Linked DNA regions of Canis lupus familiaris. The protein of the gene in region 3 interacts with the protein of the main gene of each other region in a pairwise test. Links are inferred from orthologs where the notes say so. Each region holds a gene or a part of one and is shown on either strand. Other genes may lie near its edges. The genes, in order: AEN, PRKAA2 and HOMEZ.

Region 1 (9,629 bases), on a different chromosome or scaffold from region 3:
CTCAACCACTGAGCCATCTAGGCATCCCATCTGAGTTTTATTCCAGAACAAATGGTTTTATAACAAAGCTGATTTTAAACCCAGTACATTTCCCTACCGGTAATAACTCCATCTTTTTCAACTCACAGCCCAAAGAATCGAAACTACTACAGCCTGGCTGGCAGTTTGGCGCCAGCTACAGACAGATGTTTAAGGACTCCAGAACAAAGCCCTGGAACCAGGCCAGCAGAGGTCAATGCCTCAGCCAGGTCCCTGCTCTGCAGCCTGGGAGGGAGCTGACAGACAAGCTGGAAGTAGTGTGGTTTCAGTAGTGTCTGAGTTCCTGGCCCTGTTGCTTGGGTCAGGCTGACATAAAAACCATTGTTATTTCCCGCATGCAGAGGGATGCTTGAGCAGACACAGGTCACACCTCCACGCTGGGTCCTTAGACTGCCCCGGTTGGAACAGCCAAGCAAGGACAGCCCTGTTGCAGACAGAGCCACTCCATCCCAGGAGGCTGGCTCAGGTGTTATTCAGAAGAGGCCGCGACCAGCCTTAAAGAAAACAGAGCAGGTCACAATGACCTCAGCTTGCTGCGTGCCAGGCACTGGTACCTGATCCCCATGACAACCCAGGGAGGTGGGCTGTAGCATCATCCTCATTTTACAGAGGAGGAAACAGGCTCAAGAGTGAGGTCACATACTTGCTCAAGGTCGCAAAGCTATTAAGTGGCAAGCAAGGATGGGGCTCACAAGTCCGTGTGGACCTGAGGTCTTGGCTAACCTCAATACCCCAAATGGGCCCTTGTGAATCAATGAAAGAGGGGTGGCATAGGAGATCCCGACGGTTATCCCAATAACCGTGATGACTATGGATCAAAGAGCCTGAGGGGACACCAGCCCGGGAGTGGACACACTCCCTGGCCCTAGCCCCATGGACATGCACTCTGCCCCCTGCACACTGGCAGCCTTACTTTTTTTCTTTTTTTTTTTAAGATTTTTAAAATTAAATTATTCATGACAGGCACAGAGAGAGAGAGAGAGAGAGGCAGAGACACAGGCAGAGGGAGAAGCAGGCTCCATGCCGGGAGCCCAAGCAGGACTTGACCCCAGGTCTCCAGGATCACACCCCGGTCTGAAGGCGGCACTAAATCGCTGGGCCACCCGGGCTGCCCTGGCTTTACTCTTAATAAATAAAGGTCCCTTGGTGGTAGCTCTGCACAGAGGTCCCAGAATTCAAACTGCTGTCTTGTTTCTCAGGCTTGTACTTAAGAGAGCCCAGCACTGTGGGCATGAGGAATGCCCGAGTTAGGTCAAAATTAATATGCCACAGTCTCCACCCAACATCAACACAGAGCTGCTTTCCCCACTCTCAGAAGAGTGCCTGGTGATGCCTGGTGCCAGCTCCCCTTGGGCCTGCGGGCTCTGCTATCCCATCACAGCCTAGCACTGAGTTCCTACTACGGCTACGGCCAGAGCTGCAAATCTGAGAAAGGCAGGAATGTCCCTTAGAGGGGCTTTCACTCTATAGATTCAGGACATGTTCACTGTGAACCTAACAATGCCCGCGGAGGAAGATGCAGAGGGCAGTAAGAGAAAAGGGCCTTACCCCAGGTCACTGAGCTGAGCTAACACCCCACGAGGAGACCTCACCCTCTGAGACAGCACACCGGGGGGGGGGGGGGGGGGGGCAGTGACAGCTAGGATGGTCTGCTGGCACACTCCCTCCTCTGGCTCGGTCCCCATAGCTCACCCACCTGACATTTTCACAGTGCCTATAAAGTGCCATTAGCAAACCATGGGGGGGAAGTGCCCACAAGAGCCCTGGGCAGAGGGAGCCAAAAGGATAGATGATCCCAACTCCCCGGACCCTGGCAACAGGCTAGCTGCACCCTGCCCTGCCCAGGATGAATTGCCCAGGGCTCTCCTGCCTCACTCCCTTCTGTCCTGTGCCTCCGTTTCTCCGTGGGTGCCCTGGGCCAGGTCCTCTGGCCAGTACTGGTCCTCCATGTACTGCTCCATGTCCGTGCTGCTGTCAGGCTCTCGGTCCTCCGGGCGGGGCGGCAGGCTGCTGGCCTGCTGCTGCTCCCACTGCACCTCCACCAGCCGATAGAGCTCCATGGCTGTCGTGGCATCTTCCACTGATGAGTGCCCGTGCTGGCCAGCCTGCAGACAAGAGCCCTCATCACTGCCCGCCATTCTGGATCTGGTGCAGGCCCAGAACTCTCGGAACAGCTGTGTATGGCTCGGGACGGGGGCAGGGCATGGGTGCTGCTCAGGAGAGCACAGCAATCTCAGACATCCCGTACCCCACCTATCCTCTCTGACCCTGCGTCCCCAACTCAAACATAACCCGTGGTATAACTGACTTCAGAGGCTTGAAGAGCGGACGGAATAATGAGAAGGACAGTGGGAGCGAGAGTTACTGGCTGCCCCTGGGAAAGGCTCCGCCTTGTGGATTCTCCATGAAGGGCAGGGACAGAGCCAGGGACCGGGTGGAGGACAGGTCTGCAAGAGCCCAGCCTGCAAGAACGTGGTTGGCTGTCACAATAGGGATGGTGGAGAAAACACCCAGGGCTGCCTCTACGTGTGGGACATCATACTTAGCGCCCTGGTCCCGGGGACTGGGGAAGGTGGAATGACTGGAAGCCCGAAGGCACACCCCATGGCCCCTTCTCCCGTCCCACGCACCTGGATCTTCTTGTGGAGCAGCTGCAGGGCCAGGTCCTTAAGAGACACCCGGGTGCGGGTGTGGAGGCCAGGCTGGTGGAGGAGGTTGGGCACGTAAGTGGTATCCCGGGTCTGGCTCCGAGGGTGCACGTACTTGAGGGCCTGGAAGTCATTGTGGAGCGCATGCCCCACCACCACCTTGCCCTTCAGGAGCTTGAGGATCTATGAGTGAAGGAGGGAGGAAGACCCTGCTGTCAAGCTGGCACGAGACATGTGCTGCCACCCTGGCCACTGGCACACAGATCCCTCCAAAGGGGGGGGGGGGCAGTGTGGAGAGGGCACCCACGAGCTCCATGGTCAGCCACGCAGCCTCATGTCTGAGTCCTGGGCCTTCGACTCACTATGACCCGGGGCACACTTAGGCTCTCGAACAAGTAAGAGTGCTGTCTCCCCGGGGTGGGTCTGAGCATTTTAAGAAGTAGCTCCTGGAAGAAGTCTTCTAGTTGATCAATACAAGCAACTCTGTTCTACTGGCACAGGCTCTCTGCTCAGACTGGAAGACTTCCCTGCACTCCCCCACCCCACTCAACCTTGTGCCAAGTCCTCTCGGGGCGCCTCGGCTTCCATGCCAGGAGGCCTCCCACATGACTGGCCCAGCCACATCAGGACCCGGGCTGTTCTCTCCCATGGTGGTGGAGTGGATTCATCACGTTTTCTAAGGACACCTCTAGGTCTGGCACAGTCTATCCACCTGCCCCCATGTTAGCTCAGTGTAAACAGCAGGGACGGTGTTTGACTTGACTAGTGATGCTCGATGAAAGCTCAGTACATAGGAGGCGACGGATAAAGACCCACTGGATGACGTCCACAGAACTGTGCCTGGCACTAGAGATAAGCCCATTAACAGCAGCTTTTGTTAGCATTAGCCAACATGGCCTGTCTCCTCAGGATCCTGCCCCTGGACAAGGGGCCATACAGGACTCCGCTTCCCACCTCTGAAACCTTTGGTCTCTGGCTCAGCGCTCACCACGTGCATAGTGCATGCCTCTCTTCCCTGCCTTCCATCCTTCTCAGGCCCCAGGGAGGTCATGTGCACGTTTGCACAGCATGATGATTTTTCAAAGCCATCCCCAAGCCCATGAGAATCTCCATGGAAGGATCTGGGGACAAAGATTCAAGATTTAACAGTGCTTTAGGTGCTTCCTATGGTCAAATACGTTTGGGAACTCCTAGCACATTAGTGCGATCCCAATCACTAATTGATCTTTTTCAAAGCTCCGGATAACTAAAAAAATATGGAAACGCTGATGCCTGAAGATGACAGGACTGTGGGCCTTGCAAATTCTAAATAGATACATCATACTTTTACAACCGAAAAGAAAATGTAACTTGTGAGCCTTTCACATCTTCCAAGTGGCGGTCTTTCCACAAACATTATCCCAAAGACTACCCAGCAACCCTCCCATGGAGGTGGGTCCAGATTTTATGCACCCTTGTTTATGGAGAAGGAAGCCACACGTTACACAGAGGTTAAGTAACTTTCCCAAACTCGTTTCCAGCAGCTGAGTGGTGACTCAAACCCAGGGCTGCCCTTCCCTGGCCATCCCCCATCCACACATGTCCTCACCTATGTCCTCACCTCTTTCTGGGCCACCTGGAAGGGGATGGCCTTGCGCATGTGCTGCCGAGTGACACCACTCCAGCGAGTGCGGTAGTCCACGATGGGCATCTCAGGCCGAATGTACTTGTCATAGAGGACATCGCCATGGTAACTCACTACAGAGCAGCGGGCCAGCTCACTCACCCGCCCTCGGGGTCCTGTGCCCACCATCTCACAGTCGATGGCCACACATTTGCTGGGCCGGGGCCCTGCGGATTCCCGGGGGGTAGGCTTTCTGCTCCACGAGGCACCTCCAGGTTCATTCCTCAGACGCTGCATCCCACTGCTGGTGGCTTCAGTGCCCGGCAGTGCCTCTGATGGCATGGGCAGCGGGGAGGGTCCCAGCTTGGGGGGCATGCTCAGCAGCCCCTGCTCCTGCAGAAGGGCTTTCCGGGCCATGAATCGCTGGTGCTGTCGACTCTTCCGCTTGTGTTTTCTCCGAAGCACATCCTTGGTATTCAGGCTAGCCAGGGAAGGGCACGGGCACTGGGCAGACTCTGGGCCTTCCCGGGGTACCATCCCAATCAGCTCACACCTCGGGGCAGGCGTGGCCTGGTGGGGTGATCTGCCAGCGGGGCGGCGCTCTGCAGAGACAACACAGGGCAGAGAGGCTGGGTGAGAAGTGTGCAGGGCCAGCCCTGCCCCCGCCTGCAGGGCTCCACTGCCCACTGCCCACGAGCCCTGTACTTTGTCTCAGGCTCCCAGACTGAGCCCAGGACCTTTCAAATAATCACTGCACTGAGTCAAGCTCCCCTGTGAATCACTATCCCAAGTACTTTACATAGAATCACTAAATACTCCCAACAACCTGAACAAGTATGATCGTTCTCATCTCACAGGTGAGAAAGACAAGAGTTGATGCGAACCCAGCATCCAGGGTCTCAACCTTCAAGCCAGAGCACACCTTCAGGAGCATCAACAAGCTTTAGAGAGGTATAGATATGGGAAAAGAAAAGTTACAGAAACACCGTGTGTATGCATACACACATACACACGCAAATCTCATTTTTAAATTTTTTAAATTTAAGTTATCTCTACACCCAATGTGAGGCTCAAACTCATGACCCCAAGACCAAGAGTCGCATACTCTTCCAACTGAGCTGGCCACACAATCTAATCCCAGTTTTAAAAAAACCAAAAACCAAAAACCAAAAGAATCCTTTGTGAAAGCACAGGCCCTCATCCTCAGCAGAAACTAGAGAAAAAAAATTCACAAGAGGCTCACCATAGTTGCATTTTCGGTATCTGTCAACCAAAATAAGGTAATTCATTAAATGACTTTCTACCTCACTAATCACAACAGCATCTAAAACAGTTTTTGATAGCTAGGCATTTTGCTAAGTCACCAGAGACTAAAGGCAGGGGTATGCTCGTAAGCTGGCTCAACACACAAAAAGGGAAACAGAAAAGGCAGGGTCCGCAGGTCCCTCCATTACTGGACACTGGGGATTTCTGAAGTTCATGTGGGTTTGCAAATCCCATGCAACAAGGCCAGCAGGTGCCCAAGAGCGAGGGACCATGCTTGGACAGCTTCACTCACTTGCTAAGTCACCTGGTACATTTTTAACAGGCCAGAAAACCAGGACTTTCAAGAAGGCAGAGCAGGGTTTAACTCAGCTGTTTAGAAGTTACCTGAGCTGAGCTTCAGGTTCCTTGCTTGAGAAATGGCCCTACTACAACCTGTCCTAATGAAGATGGGAGGACACAATACACGTGTGCTCACTCTGCATCCATTGTATACAGTAGGGGCTCAGTAACTACCTGCTCCCTTCTCCCCAGAGCAGTTAAAGCTCTCCTCCTGACTGGTCACCAGCTCTTCCCAGGCCAAAGCTGCCTCGGCCAGGACTCACTGCCCTCCCAACCCACAGGCTTTCCCCTTACCTGTCTTCCCACTTACATACCTCCTAACCTTTCTACATCCTCCAGGGAGCCCTGCTGGAACAACCCTCTATCCCTAAGGGTTGTTCCACCCTAAGGCTCCCTTGGGTCCCAGCTGTGCCAGTTGCTGAGCAGAGAGTAACATAGGCAGATCCTGGCCTCGAAAATAATTAGTCTCACTGCAGAGACAGAAACAGAGCACAAGGCGTGCGCAGGGCTGGGTTAGAATTGCTAGGGAAGCAGAGCTGGCCCGATGATGATTCTGGAAGGCTGGCTGGAAGAAATTAAATCTCTGTGAAGAAGAAACAGTAACCCTCCAGGTGACAAGGAGATGAACTGGTGGCCATGTTAGGGGCAAAGGCCTGAAAGAGGAAGGAAGCCAGGGTCGGAAGAGGAGCCCCCCTCCCCAAGCAGCCTGATGCCACTAGGGCATAAAACACAAGGTAGGTCAGGTCCCAGCTGGAGGAACTGTCCCTCTCACCTTTTCACCACTTAACCTTCTGTCCCCACCCTGGGAAGGCTACCACACACCTTGGTGGCCCTACCCTCAGGCCCCTAAGCTGCTACCCCCAGAATGGCCGCTACTGATCAACTGAGGGAATCCCAAGTCCCAAGGTAAGTCACTGACTTCCTGAGCCCAGGCATTTACAATCTAGCTGGGGAACAGAGAAATTCACCCCTGCACACCTGACAGCACAACCAGAGAAGCATTTACTACACTTTAAGGCAACAGTTACAGAGCGTCTACCCCAAAGTGCTCCAAAGGCCGGGTCAGAGCCCTGTGTGTCTTTGCCTCTTCCCCAACAGCCAGCCCAGGACCCGGCATACAGCAAGTCCTCTTCAGAAGTGTGTGAAGGGAGCTGAGGCCGGGCCTGCCAGACTGTGGGAGCAGCAGGGCTGGAGGTGAACCAGACAGAATTCAGGGAACTCCTCATCTGGCAAGGAGGCAGCCAGCCTCTTCCCAGGGTGTGCTCAGGATGGGGGGTAGTGAATGAACTAAGGACTCATCTGTCCGAGTACTGGACAGACAAATGCCAGGTTAGTGACGCCTGCCAGTGGAGGGACATGTTGAAAGGTTTCAGGAAGGTCTGCTAGGAGCACAGAACGGGAAAGGCATTCAGAGGAAATACACACTGAAAGTCCAGAAGGCAAAGGTCCTCCACTGTGAGAGGGCAAAGAGGGCTGGTGGACCAACTGACCAGGAGGTAGGGGGTGAGGAGCCCGATGGAGGGAACAGTGAGAGACCGCTGTTTCTGGACGGTGGTGAAAGTTTGGGCGGAATCCAGGGATTGATGGAGAAAGAAATCCCTACTGCCTTATAGACAGAGCTCTGGAGAAGAATCCGAACAGGGACAGAGATTAAGAATCGTGGGAGGAGAGCCACTTGGTGATGCCTGGGCCAGGGCGAGGCTCCGTGACCCATCCTGACTCATCCTCCCTCTGGCTTGCTCATCCACTCCCCAAGAAGCCTTCTCCCTTTTAAAAGCGCACCTAACTATAATCAACGTCCTCACCTTGACGAGTCACAGATTAGAACCGACAAGCATAGAAGCTCAGTTTGCCTCAGCTCGGCAATGGGGAGAACTGGGCCCTTTCCCTTCCCTTCTCCCAGGTCAGGGGCTGAGCCTGGGAGCGCAGGGTGGGTGGCCTCCCTGACCCTGCCTTCAAGATTCCCAGGAATCCAGAAATCAAGTTCCCTGAGAAATAGTGGCCTTGTGTTTCAAGAGATGAAAGCAAGTCCTCTTCTACATGCCCTGACCTTGCTGACATGTCAGAACCAACAATTAATTATCTAGGACACGGCTTGCCCATCCTGGGCCACCATAGGGGTGGGGGTGGGGGGTGTTCAGCAACACTGGAGAGAAGTTTGGCTCAAATCACACGGCTATTTCAGTAAGGACACACTCAAATCTCCTCCCAGCCCAGAACCACCTCTTTGGGGATCAGCAGCCAGCAGGTCTTGCTTGCGGTGACAGGTGATGGGGTTTGTGGCCCAAGGCAAGGACTCCAGCAGGAGCCCCCCCGAGCCAAGGCCCCAAAAGCTACCAACCTGCGGGCAGATGGGGAAGGCAGTAGGCGGCTGTAGGCTGCCTTCCGGGTGCCCTGGCCCTAAAACCTAGATGTCCTGGGACCAAGTCACCGCCCCCCTGACCACAAAATGGGAGGTGGATGAAAATCGAGCGTGGATCTAGGTTTGGGGTTTCCCCCAAAGCAGTTAGAACGTCCGTGTCAAACGTCGAGTGCCAGGCCTGCCCCCCCACACCCGCCATCCCAACTGCCATTTAGGGCCACGGGGCCTGAGAAGCCGACCTTCGTATTTTGATGAGCGCGCGACCCCACCCCCGAGCCCTGGCCGAGTAATTGCCCGGATTTGGAAAACCCGGGCTCGCGGAGGTTATCCCCGCCCCCCGCCACACACACGCCCGGGGCCGCTCGAAGTTCTCGGCAGGGCGAGGAGAGCCCGGGAGCCCCGCCGACCCCCCGGCCCCCGAAGAGCGCCCCGGGGAGGCCCGGCCTCGGCCACGGAGGGCTCGGGTGGTCCCTCGCCGGCCGCAGGGCCGAGCCCGCCAGGCCGAGCCCCGTGCCCGGCGCCCCTGCGCCCGGCGCCGCCCCGCAGGCCCCAGGCCCCCGAGCACGGGAGGCGCCCGGGGCAGGACCTGCACGCCGCAGGGCCCCGAGAGCCGCTCGGCCGGGCCCCGGCGTCCCCGAGCGCAGGCCGGGAGCGGGCACCGCGCGCGGGACCCTAGGGCCGGGGGCGCGCCGCGCCAGCAGACCCCCCGCCCCCCCGCCCCGGCCGAGCCCGAGCCGTGGCCCGAGCCCGAGCCCGGGCCCGCCGTCCCCAGCCGCGCCCCGGAGCACCTGAAGCGCCGCGCGCGTCCTCCGGGCCGCACGTGGTGTCCTGCAGCCCGCAGCTCCCACATGCCCGGGCAAGCCCCGCTCCGCTGCCCGCCCATTGGCCCGCCGCGCGGCAGCGCCCGCCCAGCGCCGCTGCTGATTGGCCGGGAGCCTGGCTCGCGGCGGATAGGCGCAGGCCCGCAGGGGGCGGGGACTCCTGAAGGGGCGTGGCTTGTGCGGGGAGCTGGCGGGACCCGCGGAAAATTTTAAAGCAACCGGAGCGGAGCGTGGCCTCCTGTTTCCCGGGTCCCATTCCCTTTTGCACGGCGCTCCCTGGGCCAGGATGCGGCCTCCTACGAGCTGCGTGCCACCAAAGGCAGAATGACTTGCAGGAGACACACCCACATTTGCGGAACGGGAATGGAGAGCCCTTCCCTCCTCTGTGTCGTGGGGATTCCGTGAAATAATACACATGAAGGGCACTAAAGAGATTGTGGGGGCACCTGGGTGGCTCAGTGTTTGAGCAACTGCCCAGAGTCCTGGGATCCATCCCCCTGTCGGGCTCCCTGCACAGAGCCTGCTTCTCCCTCTGCCTGTGTCTCTGCCTC
Region 2 (10,134 bases), on a different chromosome or scaffold from region 3:
TATCCAAAACATATAAAGAAGTTATACAGTTCAACACCAAAAAACAAAACAAAATTAAAAAAAAAATCAATTAAAAAACAGGCAGAGGACCTGAAGAGGCATTTTTCCAAAGACGACATACAGAAAGCCAACAGACACATGAAAAGATGCTCAAGCTCTGTAATCAGGGAAATGCAAATCAAAACCACAATGAGATATCACCTTACACCAGTAAGCATGGCTAAAATAAAAAAGACAAGAAATAATAAGTGTTGACAAGGATGCAGATTAAAAGGAAGCCCTGCACACTGCTGGTGCGAATGTAAATTGGTACAGCCACTGTGAAAAAGAGTACGGAACTTTCTCAAAAAATTTGAAATGGAAATACAATATGATCCAATAATATCACTACTGAGTATTTACCTAGAGAAAACAAAAACATTAATTCAAAAAAATATAAGGACTCCTGTGTTTATTGCAGCATTATTTACAACAGCCAAGATATGGAAGCAAACTAAATGTCTATTAACCAACAAATAGACAAGGAACATGTGGGATACATATACAAGGGAGTATTGCACAGCCTTAAGAAAAAATGAGATTGTGCCATTTGCAACAAAATGGACGAAGAGGGCACTATGCTAAGTGAAATAAGTCTGAGAAAATAAATACCATATGATTTCATTCATAGGTGGAATCTAAAAAAGAAATAAACAAAAAGCAGCATTAGACCTATAAGTAGAGAACCAATGACTGCAGGGAGGGGGGTTTGAGGGGGATAGGCAAAATGGGTGAAGGGGAGAGGGAGATACAAGCTCCAGTTATGGAACAAATAAGTCACAGGAAGCATATCTAATTTTCTTTCTAAGGAAAAGCCATTTAAGTGACTGGGGCTCCCAACTGGCTCAGTCAGTAGAGCACATGACTCTTGATCTGGGGATTGTGAGTTCAAGCCCGAGGCTAGGTGTAGAACTTAACTTATAAGTAAAACAAAACAACACAAAACAAACAACAACAACAACAAAAAAACCCAACTGTGAACACAAAAGGTAACAACAACGACAAAAAAAACAACTGCAGGGCAGCCCCAGTGGCGCAGCAGTTTAGCACCGCTTTCAGCCCGGGGCGTGATCCTGGAGACCCGGGATCGAGTCCCGCGTTGGGCTCCCTGCATGGAGACCACTTCTCCCTCTGCCTGTGTCTCTGCCTCTCTGTGTGTGTGTCTCTATGAATAAATAAAAATTTTTTTAAATCTTTAAAAAAAAAAAAAAACTGCAAAAACAAAAGGTAACAACAACAAAAAAACCTGGGAACACAAAAGGTTTTTTCCTACTAAGTTCATTTCCATAACTGAACTTGGTACTAATTTACAATCACACATTTATTTTATGTATGAGGCCTGGAGAGCTTAAGAAAGGCTAGGAGAAGAAAACAGTATACAAATGTGGAAAGAATTAGTCCCTTCTCGTAGAAGAGATATGCAGCAATCACATAAAAAACCACATCCATCATTTAAACATTCCAAGAGTCACAGGTCTCTAAATAGCCATTCTGGCTTATGAAGATAAGATGACAGATTCTGGAAAGGTGGCAAAAGAATGTGTTTGTAAATGAATAACTGATGAAATGTTAGTTAAGAACAAAAAAACCCTAAGAAACATAACATGCATGGTAAGTAAAGAGTAGAAGGCAATGCATTATCGGTGGCTTGTGTGTGCTATATAAAGGTCATATTCACAATAACACCAGCCACTGCAAGTTCCAAAGTTTCTCACATAACAAGAATCCTTCACAGTGCTAGCAGTTATTTTTGGATTCAAAATCTTAACAAAACTTTTAATGCTTTATTTCATCAACCATATATAAAATACTTAATACCCCATATTCCATCTGAAATTTATTCAAATCATTTCTTAGCATAGACTACATTCATGGGCCATTTAGCACTGCATGTACTAAGATGTGTGAGACATTCTCTCTACCCTTATGGAGTTAATGTAGGATGGAGAAAGATGCGCTGAGTAATAATAGCTAAATACAAAATAATGAAAAAATAAAACTATGAACAAAACGTGGAAATCATGAGAGTGTAAGGGACTAACATTGCGTAAGGGAATCAGAAGCGATTTCACAAAGGAGATGATATGTAAGCAGAATTTTAAAGGATGAATGGAAATCTATCAGGTCAAAAAAAGTAGAAAAGGCATCAGAGGCAATAATTTAAATTAGAACATGAAGGCATAAAATATATGTTTGAGGAATGAGGAAAAGCTCAGTGTAGCTAAAGCACTGAGAGACCAGAGGTGTGGGGAGTGCAAGAGTGAGACCTCAACAGGAGGAAATGGAGCCTCATTCCGAAGGGCCTTAGAGGACTTGCTACCTAAACTAAAAAGTTTGGGAGACAATCTGAAATATTTAAAAGATGAGTGACATGATCAGGTTTGTGTAAAAAGGAAAGCAAAATTCCTACACAGTAAGTATTACAGAGTTTAACATAAAGCAGGCATTCAGTTAGTGGTACTATTATTAATACTGTAAAATGTACATAACAGTAACAAGAAGAATCATCACCTTATATCTTTGATAGTTGCTCGTTTCAGGGGGTCAACTTGCAGCATATGCATCAAGAGAGTGGCAACAGAACGATTGAGATATTCTGGGATATAAAAAACACCCCCTCGGATCTTCTTAAATAACGTAGGTACATGCTCATCATCAAATGGGAGGGTGCCACAAAGAAGGGCATACAAAATAACACCGCAGCTCCAGATATCAACTTCAGGACCTGCATACAATCTAAGAAACAAGATGACAACACAAACCTGAAATCCAAGTGCCACTTCTTCTCATTCACATATAACCTGTTTCTATATACACATGGTAGAGAATCGGTGTATACTGATTTGCAAGCCTTTAATAAAGTCCATGGCCACACCCCAACACTCAAGACTTGTTCTCCACAGAGAATTTGTTTCAGCAATTGCTACTCAAGTTTTCCTAGACAAAAGTATTTTATTTGTCACAAATTCACTGAACTTACTAATTGACTAAAAAAATATAAAACTTAACAATGGTTGATTTTTTTTATGGAAACATCAAAGCAAATGACCATAAACTTGAAAAAACAATACTATAACGTTTAGACTTAATCCTTTTACCACAAAACTACAAGAAAGAAAATGCATAAATATAATTTTTATGCCTTACATGCCTATTTCAAAGAGTATTTCAAACATTACAGTGCCTAACTAGTACTAGAGCAATCTCTTTGAAAGTATTTGTCTTGTATCACATTATCCTGAGTATGACTTTCATTTTAATCACTTGTTAGGTTAGCTCATGGGACTAAGATTAGCTTTGTTCCACATGACCCTATGCCTTGAATATTATTCTTTTTTTCTCTCACCTTTCTGCAGTTTTAAAATGTCCCTGATACCCCACTGACAAACTCAAACTTCGGTCTCAGATAACAAAGTGAATCTCTACAATTCCAATTAAAAGAATATAATCCATTTCAAAAAAATTGCTGTCTATCATTTACATCATTTGCTTGTACTTGTCCAAAACTCCTATACGTGCTCATTGCAATAATGCCTTTTCTTCATTTTCTCTCAGAAAATTGTTAATTTTCTAAATCAGACACTGGTCACTGAAAAGCTCCTGTTTACCACTGCCATCTTTATAAACATGTTTTAAATATACCGGTGAGTAAGTTCCAGCCTCTACTTATACAATGAATTACATGAAAAGACAATACTATCTCTGAAAAACCTCATTGTTCTAAAGACAAATCAAAGTAATACTCTATATAGTACTTTATAAAAGAATATGTAAATTATTATTTAAGGACTGTGTCTGGTAAGTAAATGATGACTCTAGCTTGAATTTAACAAATGCTTTCTTATTTGTACTTTTCCAAAATGAAAAAAAATCAAGATTGGTTTCAGTACATTTTTTTTTATGGAAGAACTCCTTAAATATACATAACAAAATCTAAACCAAATGTTTAAAAAATTGTTTAATATAACTATTCTCTCTTCAACAATGGAAAAATTAAAGGGACAATTTGTTCCTATTGTGTTAACAATCTCATTCTCTGAACAGAATATATTTTAATTAAATGTAATTAGACTGAATAAAAGATTATAAACAGCTTACTCTGCATGAATCTATTATTACCTGCCCGAGATGACTTCGGGTGCTGCATAATTCGGAGATCCACAACTAGTTCTCAGAAATTCACCATCTGACATCATATTAGACAAACCTGAAAATGAGAGCAATATTTACTTTGTGCTAGATGTTTTAAAAAGTAGATATAGATAAATGCATGGAAAAAAAAAGTCAATTCCTCAAAGTTCTAAATATATTATTTTATAATTATTTTTAAAAAGCAGTAGAAAGCACCTGAGACTAGAAAAAGACCATTTCAGAGTGCTTACATCCTGACCTGACAAAAAAAGATATAGCATATCATGTATGATTGGAATTAAATCCCTTTTCTAAATAAAAATGTTAATTCACTTGGGGCCCATGGGTGTCGGTTGAGCATCCAACTCTTGGTTTCGGTGTAGGTCATGATCTTGGGGTTGTGGGATTGAGTCTGATGTTGGGCTCCACGTGGAGTCTGCTTGGGATTCTCTCTCTCTCCTTCTCCTTCTGCCCTTCCCCTCCCTTATGCTCTAAAATAATCTTTTTTTAAAATGTTGATTCACTTGATATATATGAGGTTATTCTAAATTATATGAAGTTTTCCAGACATAAAAGCATCAAAATATTATTTACCCATTCCTACAGCTGAAAGAATGAAATAGAGACCATTACTTTTTATCCTATGCTTTCAAACCCTTTTTTAAAAAAAAATCCCTCGGATGCCTGGGTGGCTCAGGGGTTGAGCACCTGCCTTTGGCCCATGATCCTGGAGTCCCAGGATCAAGTCCCACATCAGGCTCCCTGCATGGAGCCTGCTTCTCTCTTTCCCTATGTCTCTGCCCCCGCCCCCCTCTCCTGCCTATGCCTCTCTCTCTCTCTCTTATGAGTAAATGAATAAAATCTTTTTTAAAAATCTCTAAGTAGAAATCAGAAAGGCTCCAGTTTATAATGATTTCCAAAAGTGGGATGCCAGGGTGGCTCAGTGGTTAAGCATCTGCCTTTGGCTCAGGTGGATCCTGGAGACCCGGGATCGAGTCCCACATCGGGCTCCCCACATGGAGCCTGCTTCTCCCCCTGCCTGTGTCTCCGCCTCTATCTGTGTCTCTCATGAATAAATAAAATCTTAAAAAAAAAAAAAAAAGATTTCCAAAAGTTTTTAATTTGGAAAGCTTTAATTCAACATAGAAAAAATAATCTGCAGAACCAAAATTCTAGTTAAACTACCATACTAGGGAGTTTTGCGATTTAGAGAAGGAAGAGAAATATAGTTTTTAAAGTCAAGGTATAGACAGAAACTTTAAATAAGCAATGCTGAACTCTGGCACCTTTCCATGGTTCTTTCTTTTTTTTTTTTTTTTTAAGATTTTATTTATTTATTCATAGAGACACAGCTAGAGAGAAAGGCAGAGACACAGGCAGAGGAAGAAGCAGGCACCATGCAGGGAGCCCAACGTGGGACTCGATCCCAGGTCTCCAGGATCACGCCCTGGGCCGCAGGCGGTGCTAAACCGCTGCGCCACTGGGGCTGCCCTATGGCTCCTTCTATAATCTCTCACTTCCTAATCCTTCTGCCAAACATCCTACTGTGGTACTCTTTCCAGATATATTTACTCTAGAAAGTGTTAGGTGCATTAAATTTACATTTTGTTTTTGGTTTGTTTTACTCCTGACAAAAACTCCTATTCTTTTTAGCAAACGATTAGATTTTACCCTAAAATCCACCAACACTCACCCTTGACCAAGTCAAAAAGACTGTAAGTCTTCAAAACTGCATGCAAATTTTCACGTACCTCTCTTTAATGCATTCATCAAGGAAAGTGCCCATATTTTCATTAGATTTTTAAAGGAGTTTGTAATCTCCACAAAAAAAAAAAGTTAAGTTTTCCTTCAGGAGGAAATGCAGAGTAAATGGATTTACCTAGAATCTGGCCCGCTAAACTTCTCTAGAAGAATGTGCATTTTAAACAATGTGCTTAAATGAATAGAACAAGAACAAGCTAACATGGAGACTGTGCCACTAATCCCTTTTCATGGTACAGGATTTATAAAGTTGAAACTGCAAGTTCATGGTTCTTTAACAGTTGCTACTGACCCACTTGAAAAGGCAACTCGTACATTTCTGAACAATCATGGAGTTACATACCAAAATCAGCTATCTTGGCATTCATGTGAGCATCCAACAGCACATTCTCTGGTTTCAGGTCTCGATGAACCACCATATGCCTATGACAGTAATCCACAGCTGACAGAATCTGCTGAAAGAGTCGCCTTGCTTCCACCTCTTCAACCTAGCACATATAATAGAAGCTACACTAAGAATATTTGGGACATAGAGCAAGAGTTTTAGTTTCACAACAGCCCAAATGTAACTGAGCAAGCTAATTAGAATTAGGTTAGAATCCTCAACAAATCAGATAAACCAAAAACTTGCATTAGAGCTCAACGTGTCAATCAACAAGGCTCTTCTTTGCTGCTAATCAATTAGATTTAATTTTCAATTAATATTACTCACTGTGCACAATGTTTTAGGCAATCAACAAGTAAAACATAATGATAAGAACTCATGTGAAAGTGCTACAAAATGGAAATCATTGAAGCTTCAACATAATGTTATGGAACAGATTTTTCACTCTGAAAATCATGTTGGCAATTAAGTGGGACATGTTCCCTAAAATCAGTATTTTGAAAGGTGTATTTTTTTTTTTTTAAGATGTTATTTACTTGAAGGCAGCCCAGGTGGCTCAGCAGTTTAGCGCCACCTTTGGCCCAGGGTGTGATCCTGGAGACCAGGGATCGAGTCCTGCATCGGGCTCCCTGCATGGGGCCTGCTTCTCCCTTTGCCTGTGTCTCTGCCTTTCTCTCTTGTGTGTCTCTCATGAAAAAATAAATAAAATCTTAAAAAAAAAAAAAAAAGATTTTATTTACTTGAGAGACAGAGCAAGAGAGCAGGAGCAAAGGGAGTAGCAGAGGGAGAAGGAGAAACAGTCTCCCAACTGAGCAAGGAACCTGATGCAGGGCTCCATGCTGGGACCCCAGGATTATTACCTGAGCTAAAAGCAGATGCTTAACTGAATGAGCCATGGAGGTACCCCAAAATGTGTATTTCTTTTTAAGATTTTATTTTTAAGCAATATCTACAACACCTAAAGTAGGGCTCAAACTTATAACCCCAAGATCAAGGGTCACATGCTTCACCAACTGAACCTAACAGATACCCCTCAAAAGGTATATTTTTTAAGAAAGAAACTATGTCTAATATTCTGTATCTTTAGTTGGGTTTCATTACAGAAACAACTCTGACTTCGAAGAAACTTTGTGGTTTGCTATTTCCTACTATCCTTTTGTTTTGCTTTGTTTTTAGCTTAGGGTCTTACTGTGTGTACTAGACAGTAAGTTACTCACCCGTCCATGTTTACAGATGTAGTCAAATAATTCACCACCAGACACATATTCCATAACCATAAAAAAATCTGTTGGAGTGCTGATCACCTGGTATCTTTTTTGTAAATGAAAAAGATTTAAAAAGTTAGTTTAAAAAAAAATCAAGCTAGTATATTATTGCTACAATTTTATATTCCAACATTTTACAGTATTTTAAGATGGCAACAAATTATGTTATCAAAACAATCATAGAGCTATAAAGATAGCTTTACAAAATTCTCTGCTTTCTGAGGCTTATGGACTTTTCAGATTCTCCCTTTCATGTCGACAAATTCTTTGAAATTCTTCATTCTTCAAGAACTAAGGATTCATTTCTCCATTTAAACAATTTTTTTACACTCTATGGAAATCAGGTATCATATTTAAATACAAGTTAAAAATATCGTTAATGTTAAATGATAACACAAGAGATATAATCAGCAAAATGCAGAAAGTGGACAAATGACCTTTTCTTCACAAATATAATGTGAGAAAAGGAAAGATGAACCTATAGATTAATAGTAAATCAAGAGACATACTGATCTATTATAATGTAGAGATTTGTTCTGAAATTTTTAAAAGATTTATTTATTATACAGAGAGAGAGGGAGAGTGCATGTGCTCTGGAAGGAGAGGCAGAGGGAGAGGGAACAAGAAAATCTCAAGCAGATTCCATGCTAAGCAAGAGCCCAACAGGGGGCTTGCTCTCATGACCTAGAGATCACGATCTGAGGGAAAACCGAGTTGGACGCTTAACCAACTGAGCCATCCAGGTGCCCCAAGACTTATTTTGATTCTGACTCCAACAAACCAACTATAAAAACCATTTATGGGGCAGCCCGGGTGGCTCAGTGGTTTAGCGCCACCTTCAGCCCAGGGCCTGATCCTGGAGACCAGGGATTGAGTCCCACGTTGGGCTCCCTGCATGGAGCCTGCTTCTCTCTCTGCCTGTGTCTCTGCCTCTCTTTCTCTTTCTCTCTCTCTCATGAATAAATAAAATCTTTTAAAAATTATTAAAGTCTAAATACTGACTGGATAGTTGACAATATTATTAATTACTTTAAATTTTTTAGGGGTGATAATGAAATGTGCTTGTGTTCTAAAATTTAAAAAGAGTCTATATACTATTTAGGGGGGCATCTGGGTGGCTCAGTCAGTTAAGTGTCTGCCTTCAGCTCAGGTCATGATCTCAGAGACCTGGGATCAGATCCCCATCATGCTCCCAGCTCAGTGAAGAGCCTGCTTCTCCCTCTCCTCCTCACTATTTCTGTTGCTGTTTCTCTCAAATAAATAAATAAACAAACAAACAAATAAATAAATGAATAAAATCTTTAAAAAAATAAATTGTTAAAAAAAACATAAAATTTGGGACAGGAGAAGTGGGAAGAAACAGATAAACAATACACTGGCAACTGCTGAAGCCAAACAACAGATTCATGAGGCCTCATCACTTGACTTTCATATACATTAAAAACATTCCATAACGGGGCCCCTGGGTTGCAGTTAGGTGACGTGACCAATACCTGGTTTCAGCCCAGGTCACAATTTCAGGGTCCTGAGATGGAGCCCCACATCAGGTTCCATGCTCAGTGTGGAGTCTGCTTAAGACTCTACTCTCTCTCCTTCTGCATACCCCCCCTTGTGCTCTCTCTCATTCTCTCTCTCAAATAAATAAATCTTAAAAAAAGAAAATTCCATCGTAAAAAATTAAGCAGATGGATAGATGAATGTGTGTTTATTTTTTTAATCTACCTCTAGGCACTCAAAGCTGAGGCCATTGAAAAATAAGAATCTTAGTTCTATTTGAAAAAGAAATAGAAAAAAGAAAAAATTTTTCTTAAAAGACAGCTTCACCCCACATACCCAATTTTACCAAAGTTCTGAAAACAAGTTAAATACAATTATTAATGTTTTAATTGGAGGTTATATTTAACACACATAAATGAACAAGTGACTTCTCAAAATAGTTTGTTTATAAAGGATTATCTATAATCTGGTTGATTGTAAGCAATATCTAACTTACACTGAGTCACTATTTAAGGACACGAAGTATAGCTGCGCAGTTTTTACATGGCTTACAGGCACGCAGTTAAGGCACAAGCAGGAGCTGAAAAGCGGCACAGATGCCACCTGTTAGAAAGCATCAGAAGCAGGAGGCCCTTCTGGTTAATCAGTCTACCCAGAAGAGGTACCTTTTATTAATGTGCAAAAAAGCAAGTATGTGCTACATGGTGGTTCTGGTTATTATTAAAGAGAAAAGAAAAAATGGCCAGGTTGTTGGTGATATAACTACATACTATACATTTTAAAAAAAGATACATCATGCATTTTTTACTTTTTTTGAAAAAAGTAAAATATTAAAGCTATAGTGTGAAAATGATTATAGAGTTCCAGGAGATAGATTTCTAATAGCAATCTTTTTAGTCTTTGGGGTGAAAAATGACAAGGTAACCCACGTTATATAAAATAAACTAATATAACTGAGAAATAAGGTTGAAATTACTTCAGATGAACTATAACAGGGAATTTCACCTGAGAACTCCAGAAGAAATGATTCTATAAAAGCAATCTTACCAGGCACTA
Region 3 (10,654 bases):
AAAACGCCTGGACACTACCCCAAAAGATTGGTGAAATGAACATACTTTTAATGACAACGATTAAAGATACGTATGAATCATTAAAAAAATTCCCAAGTCTAACTGGCTTTTTTTGTTTTTTGTTTTTTCGATCATTGCCATTTACCTGTTCTAATCCTATAATATAAAAGAGCTTCAAATGTATGGTGAGGAGGTTCATATGTAAAAGATCTGATCTGGGCCCACATTACCAAACACGTCTCGGCTTGAGTCTTCTTTCAGTTTAGAAGTCTCAGATTAGGACGCAAAACCAGGAACCTCTGAGGATTCGGGGTCTCACTTTCCCGGTTTGTTTGGAGTACGGCTGGGTAGGGGGTCAGAAAGGGCAGTTTCTCCCAAACCTTTCATTCCCAAAGACCACTGCTCCCCAGAAGTAAGGCCAGATTTCTGTACGTGTGCTGAGGTCGCCAGAAGGTAGTCGTGGGGGGAGGAGAGGCCTGGGAAGGAAACATTTCTCCTATCCTCCATTTCGCAGGCAGTCTACAAGGCTCCAAACTGGGTCAGAGAACAAAAAGTTGCTGCACTTGGGGCGACGAGCCCCAGGGAGCAGACGAATTTCAATCCTCCCCTCGCGGAGGGCGTCCCAACCCAGCCCTCTCCTCCCTACACACCCACTCACCCTCCCCCAGTTACAACAGGGAACCGAAAAGTCCAGAGGAGAAAGGAGAGAGAACCGGGCGACTTCGAGCCTAGAATTCTCCTCCCCCCCGAGCCTGGGGATGGGGCTCCGGAGGTCGGAGATCACACAGGGGCTGGGAGGGGAAGTCGAAGGGGCTGGGGATCACTCACCGCGGTCCGGCCCGGGCGGCGGCTCCCAGCCTCGCACCATGGGCCGGGGGGAAAGGGGGAGAAAGGGCAGGGGGCCTCCGGGGTGGGACTGGGGTTCCCGCCCGGTGCGGCCTGCTCCAAGCCCACCCGCGCGGAGGGCCGGGACCGGGACTGCCCCCCCTGTCCCCGAGAGCGCGCCCGTCTAGCCCAACCCTGCTCGAGCGAGTTGGAGGCGGGGCGGCCGGGTGGGGCGGGCCGCGGGGGCGGCGCCAAGGTGGCCCGAGTCCCGATTGGCGGAGGCGGCGGGCGGGCACCGGCGCGGTGCACCGGGCGGCCATTGGCTGCGTGAATCTCGGCTGAAGTCGGTTATTGGCTGCGTGGGCCTCCGCTGGGTGGCGATTGGCTGCTTGGGGCAGGGAAGATGTCCCCCGGGGCCAGGGTGCTGCGACTGATACCCCCTCCCTCGCCCCCGACCTTTACGCGCCGGACCTTCGGAGCAGGCTGAGCGCTGGTCCTCCCGGAGGCGTCCCCCAGGACCCCGCCGCACTTCGTTGGATTGTCCAGGACTCCCTTGCGACTACTCCCCGTTCCTTCCTCCTGAAGGGAGACTTTTTCAGCACCTCCTTGCCAGCCGTGCGCACAAGTGGAGCCGATCCGCGCCTGCCCAGCCGGCAGCAGCGTCACTGTGAAACGCAGCGCCTACAGCGAACGGGAACTTGCTCTCCGGGCGGATCAGATGTCCCGCCGCCTGGAAGACGAGGGTCCCAGGAGCCCGGCACCCTCGGAACAGCGGACGAGTGTTCCCAAAGACTAGTGCCGGAAGGAGCACCTGTTTGGGACCCACCAGACCCCTAGGCCCCCTCTCCGTCCCAGTGAGGAGGACCTGGAACTCCCACTTGTACTTAGGAACCTTAGTTTTTGCTGTCAAGAAAGGGATGGCAGTAAAGTGGATGTTTCGCCAAAGTCGCCACACACTCTTAAGTTGTGGGCTGAAAGTTTTTATATTTTGGATTCTTAGTCTTCAGACTAAACTTGGGAACAGCCCTTTCTGAAGTGATTCTTTTGTTCTCATGCTGGTCCTCAAAAAAGCCTCTTCTTGCCCATTTCGGTCACTTAATAGTTTACATAACTACAGTAATTTATAAAACAATTTCAGACGTCGCTCTGTATTCCAGACACCACCTCTCCCCGTATACTCCCTCCAAAATCAACCCCCATTATGGATTCTTTGTTCCTCCAATTTAAGGTCTAGAATGCTGTCATAGTTGTCAGACATCAGAAATAAGCTTAAGCACTGAGCCCTATTTTATTTATGGTATTATCCCTGTATTTCTCCCTGCACACCTCCTAGCCCCATTACATTCAGTAAAAATTTCAGCCTTTTAAGAGCCAGGCCCACAATCTTACAACTGTGTATCCAGCAAAAACATCATAAACAAGGGAAAGATATATATGTGGAGGCCGAGAAAATTAAGGCCATTGCACCTCAAGTTTAGCGTTAGCACAAGTACAGTCATCTTAGCTTCGGCAGCCATCTCAGGCCCCTGTGAACAAGAGCTGAACTTTACCCTACTTCAGTTACAGGAAAAACCGCAGAACGCCCTTGACAGAATGCCCTTGACAGAAAGTCCCATATCGGAATGAAAACAGAGCTTAAGAAACTCCCCCACCCTTTCCCCCATATTGGAATGGAGAAATTCCTCCACCCCTTCTGGAAGTCATCTAGACCAGCCCATAAAAACCCAGCTGGAACCCACTTCGGGGTCCAAGCCCCTGCTCTGCTGTGTCGGGTGTACTTGGACCCAGGCTTGAGCTTCCTAATAAACCCTCATGTGCTTGCATCGGTGTCGGCTCCTTGGTGGTTTCTTGGATTCACAATCTTGGGCACAACATATATACTCAGCTTTAAAGTTAGAAACTTCTGATTCCTCAGGGTTTAAGCCTGGACTGGTGGTATGCAGACTTTGTCCTAAATCATGACTATCCCCATGCCCCAGTGGTTTGTTACATGATGAAGGGAAAAGTGAAACATTTTAGGCAGCAGCAGCCTCAGTTTTGAGTGGAGATGTTGTTCTCTCATAATCCAAACAAATAACAAGACAAATAAAAAATAACTTCCCGGTTGACCGGGAAGAACTCATGCTTATCAAGCTGGAAAGCCAGGCAGGCAATGTCTGTGGGAACTTAGTGCCTGCCCCTAGAGGATTCAGTTTGGCTCTCTGGCAACACTGATCATAGGCTTGGAAATCTGAAAGGTGGACAACTCTGCTCATTAAGACACTCACTCCTGGGACACCTAGGTGGCTCAGCAGTTGAGCCCCTGCCTTTGGCTCAGGGTGTGATCCTGGAGTCCTGGGATCGGGTCCACATCAGGCTCCCTGCATGGAGCCTGCTTCTCTCTCTGCCTATGTCTCTGCCTCTCTCTATGTGTGTCTCTCAGGAATAAATAAATAAAATCTTTAAATAAATTAAAAAAAAAAAAAAAGACACTCACTCCTGAGACTCCAGAACAGGGAGCAGAACTGGACAGGTTTAGGAGAGGAAAAATCCAAGGATAGAAGAAATCCACCTGCCCCTATTCTAGAGTGTGTGCTGAAGACTCCCTCTTATGTGGATTTCACTCTAAAACTTTAGAAGATGGAGTAGACTGTATGGGGATTGGAAGAGAGGAAGAGATCCAGGCTATCCGAGATGGGAGGGCCCCACCTTTAGCAAGATAACGAACCTTCCCAGCTCTTCCAGGGACTAGTGCTGAAGAATGGGGACTCATCATGCCATCCTCAATATAGAGATGTTAATCCCCCATATTGGTGGAAGTTCTCTCTTCCTTTGCATGACTTAGATATTAGCAGGATTAACCAAGAGGCACATTTACCCTATAGCTAAAGAAGCTGAAGTTTCAGGGCCATCTCTTGCACAGACCTCTTCCAAAGCACTGAAGGAGCCCCAAGAACATGTTAACATGGTCATAGTTTTTTGTAAAACTTGAAAAAAATATTTCAACTGCAATTGACTAAGATTGATGTCTCTTTCCTTTCTGACTTCCCCTCCATTATACTTCTTTTGTCAAGTGGCAGTGGAGGGGCCATAGGCATTTTGGGATTGGTTAAGGAAATTAAGTTGGGGATACATTTGCTTTGGGTTGAGTAGGTCTATCACTGTGGTTTGCAGTTACTTCTGTAAATAGTTTAATAGTAAGCATAGTGTTAGGGGCTGAACTGTGTTGTCCACCCCCCCACACACACACACACACACTCCATATTCTTACTGTGAAGTACTAAGTCTCGATACCTTGGAATATAACTGTATTTGGAAACAAGGTCTATAAAGAGGTAGTTAAGTTAAACTGAGGTCTTCAGGGTGAGTCCTAATCCAATATGACTGGTATCTTTAGAATAGGAAATTTGGACACAGACACGAACATAGGAACGACCATGGGAACACATAGGGAGATGGGTATCTATAAGCCAAGGAGAGGAACCTCAGAATGAAGTCAACCCTGTGGATACCTTGACCTCAGACTTCTACCCTCTACAATTGTAAGGGAATTTCTGGCTAAAGCCACCCAGTCTGTTGTATTTTTGTATGGCAGCTCTAGCTGACTAATACATCTACATTAATACGAATGTCAACGATCCAGAGCATATTAGTCATTACAAATTTGAAATGCTCTGAAATTTTATATCACATACATCAAGGAAATTTGATAGTGTTTTTTTCAAGTTTGATAAAAATCTGAAAAAAATTGTGATTTTTTTTAATTTTTTTTTAAGATTTTATTTATTTATTCATAGATACAGAGAGAGAGAGAGGCAGAGGGAGAAGCAGACATCAGAAGCAGACAGAGGGAGAAGCAGGCATCATACAGAGAGCCTGACGTGGGACTCGATCCAGGGTCTCGATCCAGGGTCTCCAGGATCACGCCCTGGGCTGCAGGCGGCGCTAAACCGCTGCGCCACCAGGGCTGCCCAAAATTGTGATATTCTTATCACTTATAAAGTGTGAAGGTGAAAATTTTCTAAATCACTAAGAATAAAAAAAAGTGTCATGTAGAAGACTTTTCTATACTCCTTAGAGAAAACATTCTCATCATAGAAGCTATCAAGAGCATGCACTCAGAAATAAAATTGTAAAAAAAAAAAAAAATGCTTGTCAAGTAGGTTTTAAAATTTTATTTTTCTTGATTTTATGATATTGTATTTGTCAGCTCTTTAAAATTTTTATCTTTTCTCATTCTAAACTATTTTCACTTTTGTGACTAATGTGTTTTTCTTTTAAAAGTCTCCAAAAAGGGGCATCTGGGTGGCTCAGTGGTTGAGCATCTGCCTTTGGCTCAGGGTGTGATCTCGGTGTCCTGGGATAGAGTCCTGCATTGGACTCCCCATGGGGAGCCTGTTTCTCCCTCTGCCTATGTCTCAGCCTCTGTGTCTCATGAATAAGTTTTTTAAAAAGCCCCAAAAATTGTGCTTCAGGCACCCCAAAACTAGCATCTACCCCTGGGACAACCCAAATGGATATGGGGAGTTTCTGCCTCACTTAGGGGAAACATGCTCCACCATTTTGTGCCCGGTCTCCTAAGAAATCCAAAAGCTGAGGGCTGACCAATCAGAACTGCAACTATTAAAAGATTTGGGATAGCTAAAGCTGCAGTGAAGGAATTTGTGGAAGAATTTCAGACAGACGTAGCACTAAACTGTGAGAAGCCAGGAAAGACATTAGGGCCACGGAGGGACTTTAGGCAATAAGCCACAGAGAAAAACCCTGGGAAGCCCCCCACTTACCTCTCTTTGGGTGTCTGCTCCTCATGCTGACTCTACCCTTCAGCATATCTAGCTTCACAACGTAAGTGTGGGTGCTCTGTAGTGACATCACAACTTGGCCATTATGATGAAATTAGGAGAATCTGATTATTCTCAGGTTAGGGCTTTCCTATTAGAAACATTGTCTCATTTGTGGGTAACTGAATTCTCTCATTGTTCAGGTGATGTGGAAGTCAAAATTATGTTAGAACCTGATCTTTTTCAAGGATGCCTCACTTTAATATTTATTGTTCCACTCTGGATTAGACAGAGGTCTTTGCTTTTCCTCTTCATATTTCTTGTGCTTTACTTTAGGGTTGCCCTTGATAGAGAAAAGGGCTTTGCTCTGCCCTTCAGTGCTTAAGAAGAATGTAACTTAGATGGTCCCCCGACACAAGGGGAAACTCGGGGATTTTATCCTTTAACTGTACCAGGAATTGGTGCTGGGTGCTAGGGAACTAGAGCTGGGCCCCCTGATAACTTTCCTGCCACTACCCAAATGGTGGGATTCTATTGGGGTGTCTTATACCAGTGCTGCCCAGCTCCTCTGTATCTTCTGCCCATCCAACTTTTGTGTAGCAATAGGACACCAATGGACAGGGCTTTTAGGAAATGAGATGACCAAGAAATGGGAAATAGGGAAGAGGAATCTTGCCGCTGGGTCTCTTGCCACCCCCCCCCCCCGAAAAAATCAATTTATCTCAGTATCTTATAATATACTTTCATATTTTACCTTTATTTCAAACATGAGGCCTCTTAACCAGAAGGGAGGGCAGTTGCATGAGGAAGCTGAAGTGAGGCTCAGCGCTAGTGGGATTGGGGCCCAGAGAACAGGGCTGCGCTGTGAAGGGGATGAGGACACTCTGGGACGGCCTGATGAGAACTGTGGTTTGGGGGGATTCACATAGCAAACATGCAATTCCTCTCCAGGTTAGCTAGTCAATGGGTGAGTTATTCAGTCTTTTTTTTTTTTTTTTTAGCAACTTCACTGTTCCTTAGCAATATCACCCAAAGTGCCAAGGCTTGGGAGAACAGAGAAAACTACAAGTGCCTTTTGTTTCTTTTTATGCCGGTATAGAAAAGGGAGTGGAAACTAGCAGCAGAAAATGAAACATTTGTGATATTATCCTTGCCATGAAAAACCCCAGGTCTGATTGTGCAGCAGCCTGTTTTCTAGCCTGGGAGTGGGATATGGTCAGGAAGGCTGGGGTTAAGCCCCATCTCCAGCTGCACTAACAAATTCTCTGACCTTGCTGAAGTCACTCCATCTCCGGACCTGTGTTCTCATCTGTACTGAAGCAGGGACCCCAGTGATCTCTAAAGATAAGCTTTTCCAGGTCTCTGATTATATGACTTGCAGATTGCAGGGATCCAGAGTTGCTCCAGAGAAACACAGGTGTTAGAAGGGAAGGCGGGTGTTAGACTGAAAAGTTCAGGGGTTAGGACTTACTATGAAGAGAAATAATGAGCTGCATTCATAAAGAGAAACAAGGTACAAGAAGAAGGCTCGTAGGTGTTAAGACAGGTTGGTGTAGGGAAACATCTGAGGTCTAGATGAGAGAAATGGGCAATGTTCCAGCTGTGTTGCTTCAAGGGTTCAAGCCCCTAACCAGGGTAATGTTTTCTCTTACAGTGCTGTCTCGTCCACAGCTGACGTATTATATGTTAAATTGTTCCTGTTCATATAGTCACCAGCCTTTAGGGGAAAGGACTCATCCCAATGCCTAATATGTAACACATCTCTAAAGATTGCTTCAAACTTCTAGTATTTCCCATTCCAGATTAGACCACCAGCTTACCCCCAGGCCCTGGGGCAGCTCTATTTGGGAAGAACTAGAAGATTCAGGTGTTGGCTCTCTAAAGCTGAGAATGGGGGGTGGGTGAGCCATGGTACTTCCTACAGAGAGAGCTCAGGGAAAAATGGATTATCCTTGGTTCCTTGTCTCCAACCAGTTTACATTTCCACTCAATAATACCCAGGCTTGGGCACCTGGGTGGCTCAGCGGTTTAGCACTTGCCTTTGGCGCAGGTCGTGACCCTGGGGTCCTGGGATCGAGTCCCACATCGGGCTCCCTGCGTGGAGCCTGCTTCTCCCTCTGCCTGTGCCTCTGCCTCTGTGTGTTTCTCGTGAATAAATAAATAAAATATTAAAAAAAATAATACCCAGGCTTGCAGAAAGGGCCCAAGCACAGACCATTTGGCAGTTGTCCAAGTCAGGGATACCTTTTAGTGGAAACTTTAGGGACTGGTCAGTTCCAGACTAGTCCGGGGAGTGGAAAAGGGTGTCACACCAACAAGTGTGGGTTGGTTACAGCCAGGAGAGAATCCCAATCAATGTACAGAAAAGCTGGAGTTCAAATGGGTTCCCAAGTTCTCTAGCAGGCAGGCAGTGTGGTACCTTGCTGATTCTGGAGAGCCAGGACACTGGTACAGGAGAGAGCAGCAAGCTCCTGCATGGAGCTTGGGACCCTCAGTACTATGCCTTCTCTGAGCCAGTTTGGAAGACTGGGAGGATGGGAAGGCAGAGCAATTGGAAATTGTGTTCTTTTCCCAATAAAAGATTATATATGGCAAAGTTTTCAGTTTTGTTTAAAGTAAAAAATACAGTAACATGGCTATGCATAGAAACACTGGAGATCCTAACTATGCCATTTACCAGAGACGTGAGCTTGGAACAAATTACTTAGCTTTTCTGACCTGTTTTCTCATCTCTGAAACAGGGATAATATTTCTCAACTGTTAGAGTTGCTCTGAGGATTATAATGCATGCAAGACACCAGATTTTAGTTGCTAAGTAAAGGTGAGCTATTATGATTGTTAATACAACATGACAATAATGCATACACATTAGGCAAGAGATTATTATACACTGAGCCTCAACCCAGGCTCTTCCTTCTCCATCATCCTCCCTTGGGCTCTTCATCGATGACTAAAAAGCACATTGTTTGGTGGCTTCCAGGAATTTCTTTCTTCACTCTGCTGGAACTTTGACCTGAAGATGATCCACAAGATGCATGAAATTTTTTGTTTTCTTCATCAGGTAAGGATGATGTTTAAACCGGCATTTCTTTGAGGAGTGACTCAAGATTCCTCTTTTTTTGGCCATCTTCCTTCAAAAGACTAAGGCTTTGGATAGGAGGGGCATGGTAACAAGCCCCATACTCTGTTCTGAATGCATGTATGGGCCCATGTGCATGCACTCTCTGACTTGGTAATAAGGAAGAGGGGGATTCAGAAATTTTTAAGAAAGTAGTAACAGATAGAAAAGGGTGTGGGGAACTGGTTACCTGGGAGCAGCTGTTCATCTGCATCAGGAACTGCTTCTTTTCCCTCTTCTCCCTTCTAGACGACTGTCAAGAAGGAGCCTGAGGAAGGAAGGTGGATCAACCATGGTCTTGGAGAAAGGAAGAAGGTTCTCCACCCCTTCTGGAGGGAGAAGGAATAGCAGAGATCAACAAGGACGAAGATGGAGGCAAATGGAAAAGAGAAAACGAAGGTGAATACCCTGTATGCTAAAAGGAAAATTAAAGTGATGAGAGAGAGGGACAAGGAAAGGAAAAAGCTTAGGAATAGGGCAAGAAAGGAAAGGAAAAACTACTAGCAGAGGTTAGCCAGGAGGGGAGACCTAAGGCATGACTGTGATAGAAGAGTCCAGCTTTCCCACTTTACTTGCTCAGGGTATGGAACAGACTGCCATCTTCTGGTGCCACTTAATTGGCTTTGATTCTTGATTTGAAATGTTTTCCATTTCTCATATCCATAATCCTTTATCCTAAAGAGAGCCTCACAGGGTTTCATCTCTGGGGCTCCCAAACATTATTTTCCCCAACAGAGATGCAGCTGCCCAAAACTGTCTCAAAGGACCTAGACTGGAAGTCTGTGGGGGTCAAGAGCAAAAACCACGGGGCAGAGGATGAACTGCAGTTTGGAAGAAGCCCTGGAATACCATCAGGCTGAAGTCTGGTTATGAGATGCTTCCTGGGCTCTGAATATTTGTGTCAAATATTCATCCTCAGCCCTACCCAAATGCTGAAAGTGCTGTGTGTTCTGAACTGTAGCACTCCAACTGTTTAGGTTGGAGATTGGGGCTTCTAATCTACACTCTGCCACTCATAGATCATAAAATATCAAAGCAAGAATAGACTGTGAGATCACCTCGCCAAGATCTAATTTTCCAAGATGAAAACTGGCGCCCACAAAGGTAAAGTTAACTTTGCCCAAAGTAATACGGCTAGTCAGTGAGTCTTTCTGAGGCAGAATCATGAGAGGGATTCTTGTGATTCACTATTCCATGACAAATACAGTGCATAAAGTGCTTAGAGGTCATTAAAAGGCACCCTAGGAAGGTATAAGGCTGGCATTTTTCTGGAAGTCCCTGAGTGTACCAACTCTTCAGGCACGGCATTATTTGGCTACAAGGTCAGGCCTGGAGTTGGTTTCGCCTTCATTTTAATCCCCAGGGCTGCCTGGAGGAGGGCGAAGGAGCTCTGATTGCCGTGTGCCATCACTCCCCAGGCCAGGCAGGGGTCAATTAAGCCCGGGAACGTCAGGGATAACCAAGGAATCGTGTCATAACGCCTGGGACTGAGGAGCAATGGCCAAGTTCCTGGGACTTAAGCAAGGCAATTATGGCTGAGTTTAAAGCTAGGATGGGCAGGACTGCGGGACCTGAGGTGGCAATTGGCGGGTTAGAAGAGGAATGAGCAATCCAAATGACTTTGGTCAGGTGGGCTCCTACTCGATCCCAAGGAGGTGGCTAACCTTCACTGCCTAGGCCTGACGAATCCACTCCCTTTCTCCCAGTACTAGCTCACGGTATAGGACATCACATCAATCTTTCGCTTTGTTCCTAATCCCTCTAATGCCTTGGGTTCCTATCACATCCAGCTCCTGTCTTCCCATCCCCATGTCCCCGACCTTGCTGGTTTCCGCCCACTGCCCACACCCCTTTGATTTCTCCCTCCCCAGTGGACTCTCTCGGACAGCTCCCAGCCAATCTCGGTTTCTCTCATTCCTCCCCGCCAAATCTTCGGGCTCCCCCAGCCCCT

The links.
Region 1: the proteins of HOMEZ (region 3) and AEN interact in binary tests that used the Homo sapiens proteins (3 or more experiments, as listed by UniProt). The two-hybrid records come from large-scale screens. The link is inferred for Canis lupus familiaris from reciprocal best matches to the Homo sapiens genes HOMEZ and AEN.
Region 2: the proteins of HOMEZ (region 3) and PRKAA2 interact in binary tests that used the Homo sapiens proteins (3 or more experiments, as listed by UniProt). The two-hybrid records come from large-scale screens. The link is inferred for Canis lupus familiaris from reciprocal best matches to the Homo sapiens genes HOMEZ and PRKAA2.

What each region holds. Positions count from the first base shown.
Region 1 is NC_049224.1:52,301,333-52,310,961, reverse strand, and holds AEN (apoptosis-enhancing nuclease), read right to left. Parts: upstream 8,509-9,629; 5' UTR 8,469-8,508; coding exon 8,237-8,468; intron 8,144-8,236; exon of another isoform or gene 8,119-8,143; intron 4,893-8,118; coding exon 4,288-4,892; coding exon of another isoform or gene 4,276-4,287; intron 2,871-4,275; coding exon 2,670-2,870; intron 2,145-2,669; coding exon 1,911-2,144; 3' UTR 19-1,910; downstream 1-18. UniProt on the Homo sapiens protein: Exonuclease with activity against single- and double-stranded DNA and RNA. Mediates p53-induced apoptosis.
Region 2 is NC_049226.1:53,188,511-53,198,644, forward strand, and holds part of PRKAA2 (5'-AMP-activated protein kinase catalytic subunit alpha-2), read right to left. Parts: intron 7,628-10,134; coding exon 7,534-7,627; intron 6,420-7,533; coding exon 6,275-6,419; intron 4,247-6,274; coding exon 4,159-4,246; intron 2,776-4,158; coding exon 2,551-2,775; intron 1-2,550. UniProt on the Homo sapiens protein: Catalytic subunit of AMP-activated protein kinase (AMPK), an energy sensor protein kinase that plays a key role in regulating cellular energy metabolism.
Region 3 is NC_049229.1:3,675,412-3,686,065, forward strand, and holds the start of HOMEZ (homeobox and leucine zipper protein Homez), read right to left. Parts: upstream 6,126-10,654; 5' UTR 5,677-6,125; coding exon 5,589-5,676; intron 1,487-5,588; exon of another isoform or gene 1,297-1,486; intron 1,020-1,296; exon of another isoform or gene 869-1,019; coding exon of another isoform or gene 829-868; intron 1-828. UniProt on the Homo sapiens protein: May function as a transcriptional regulator.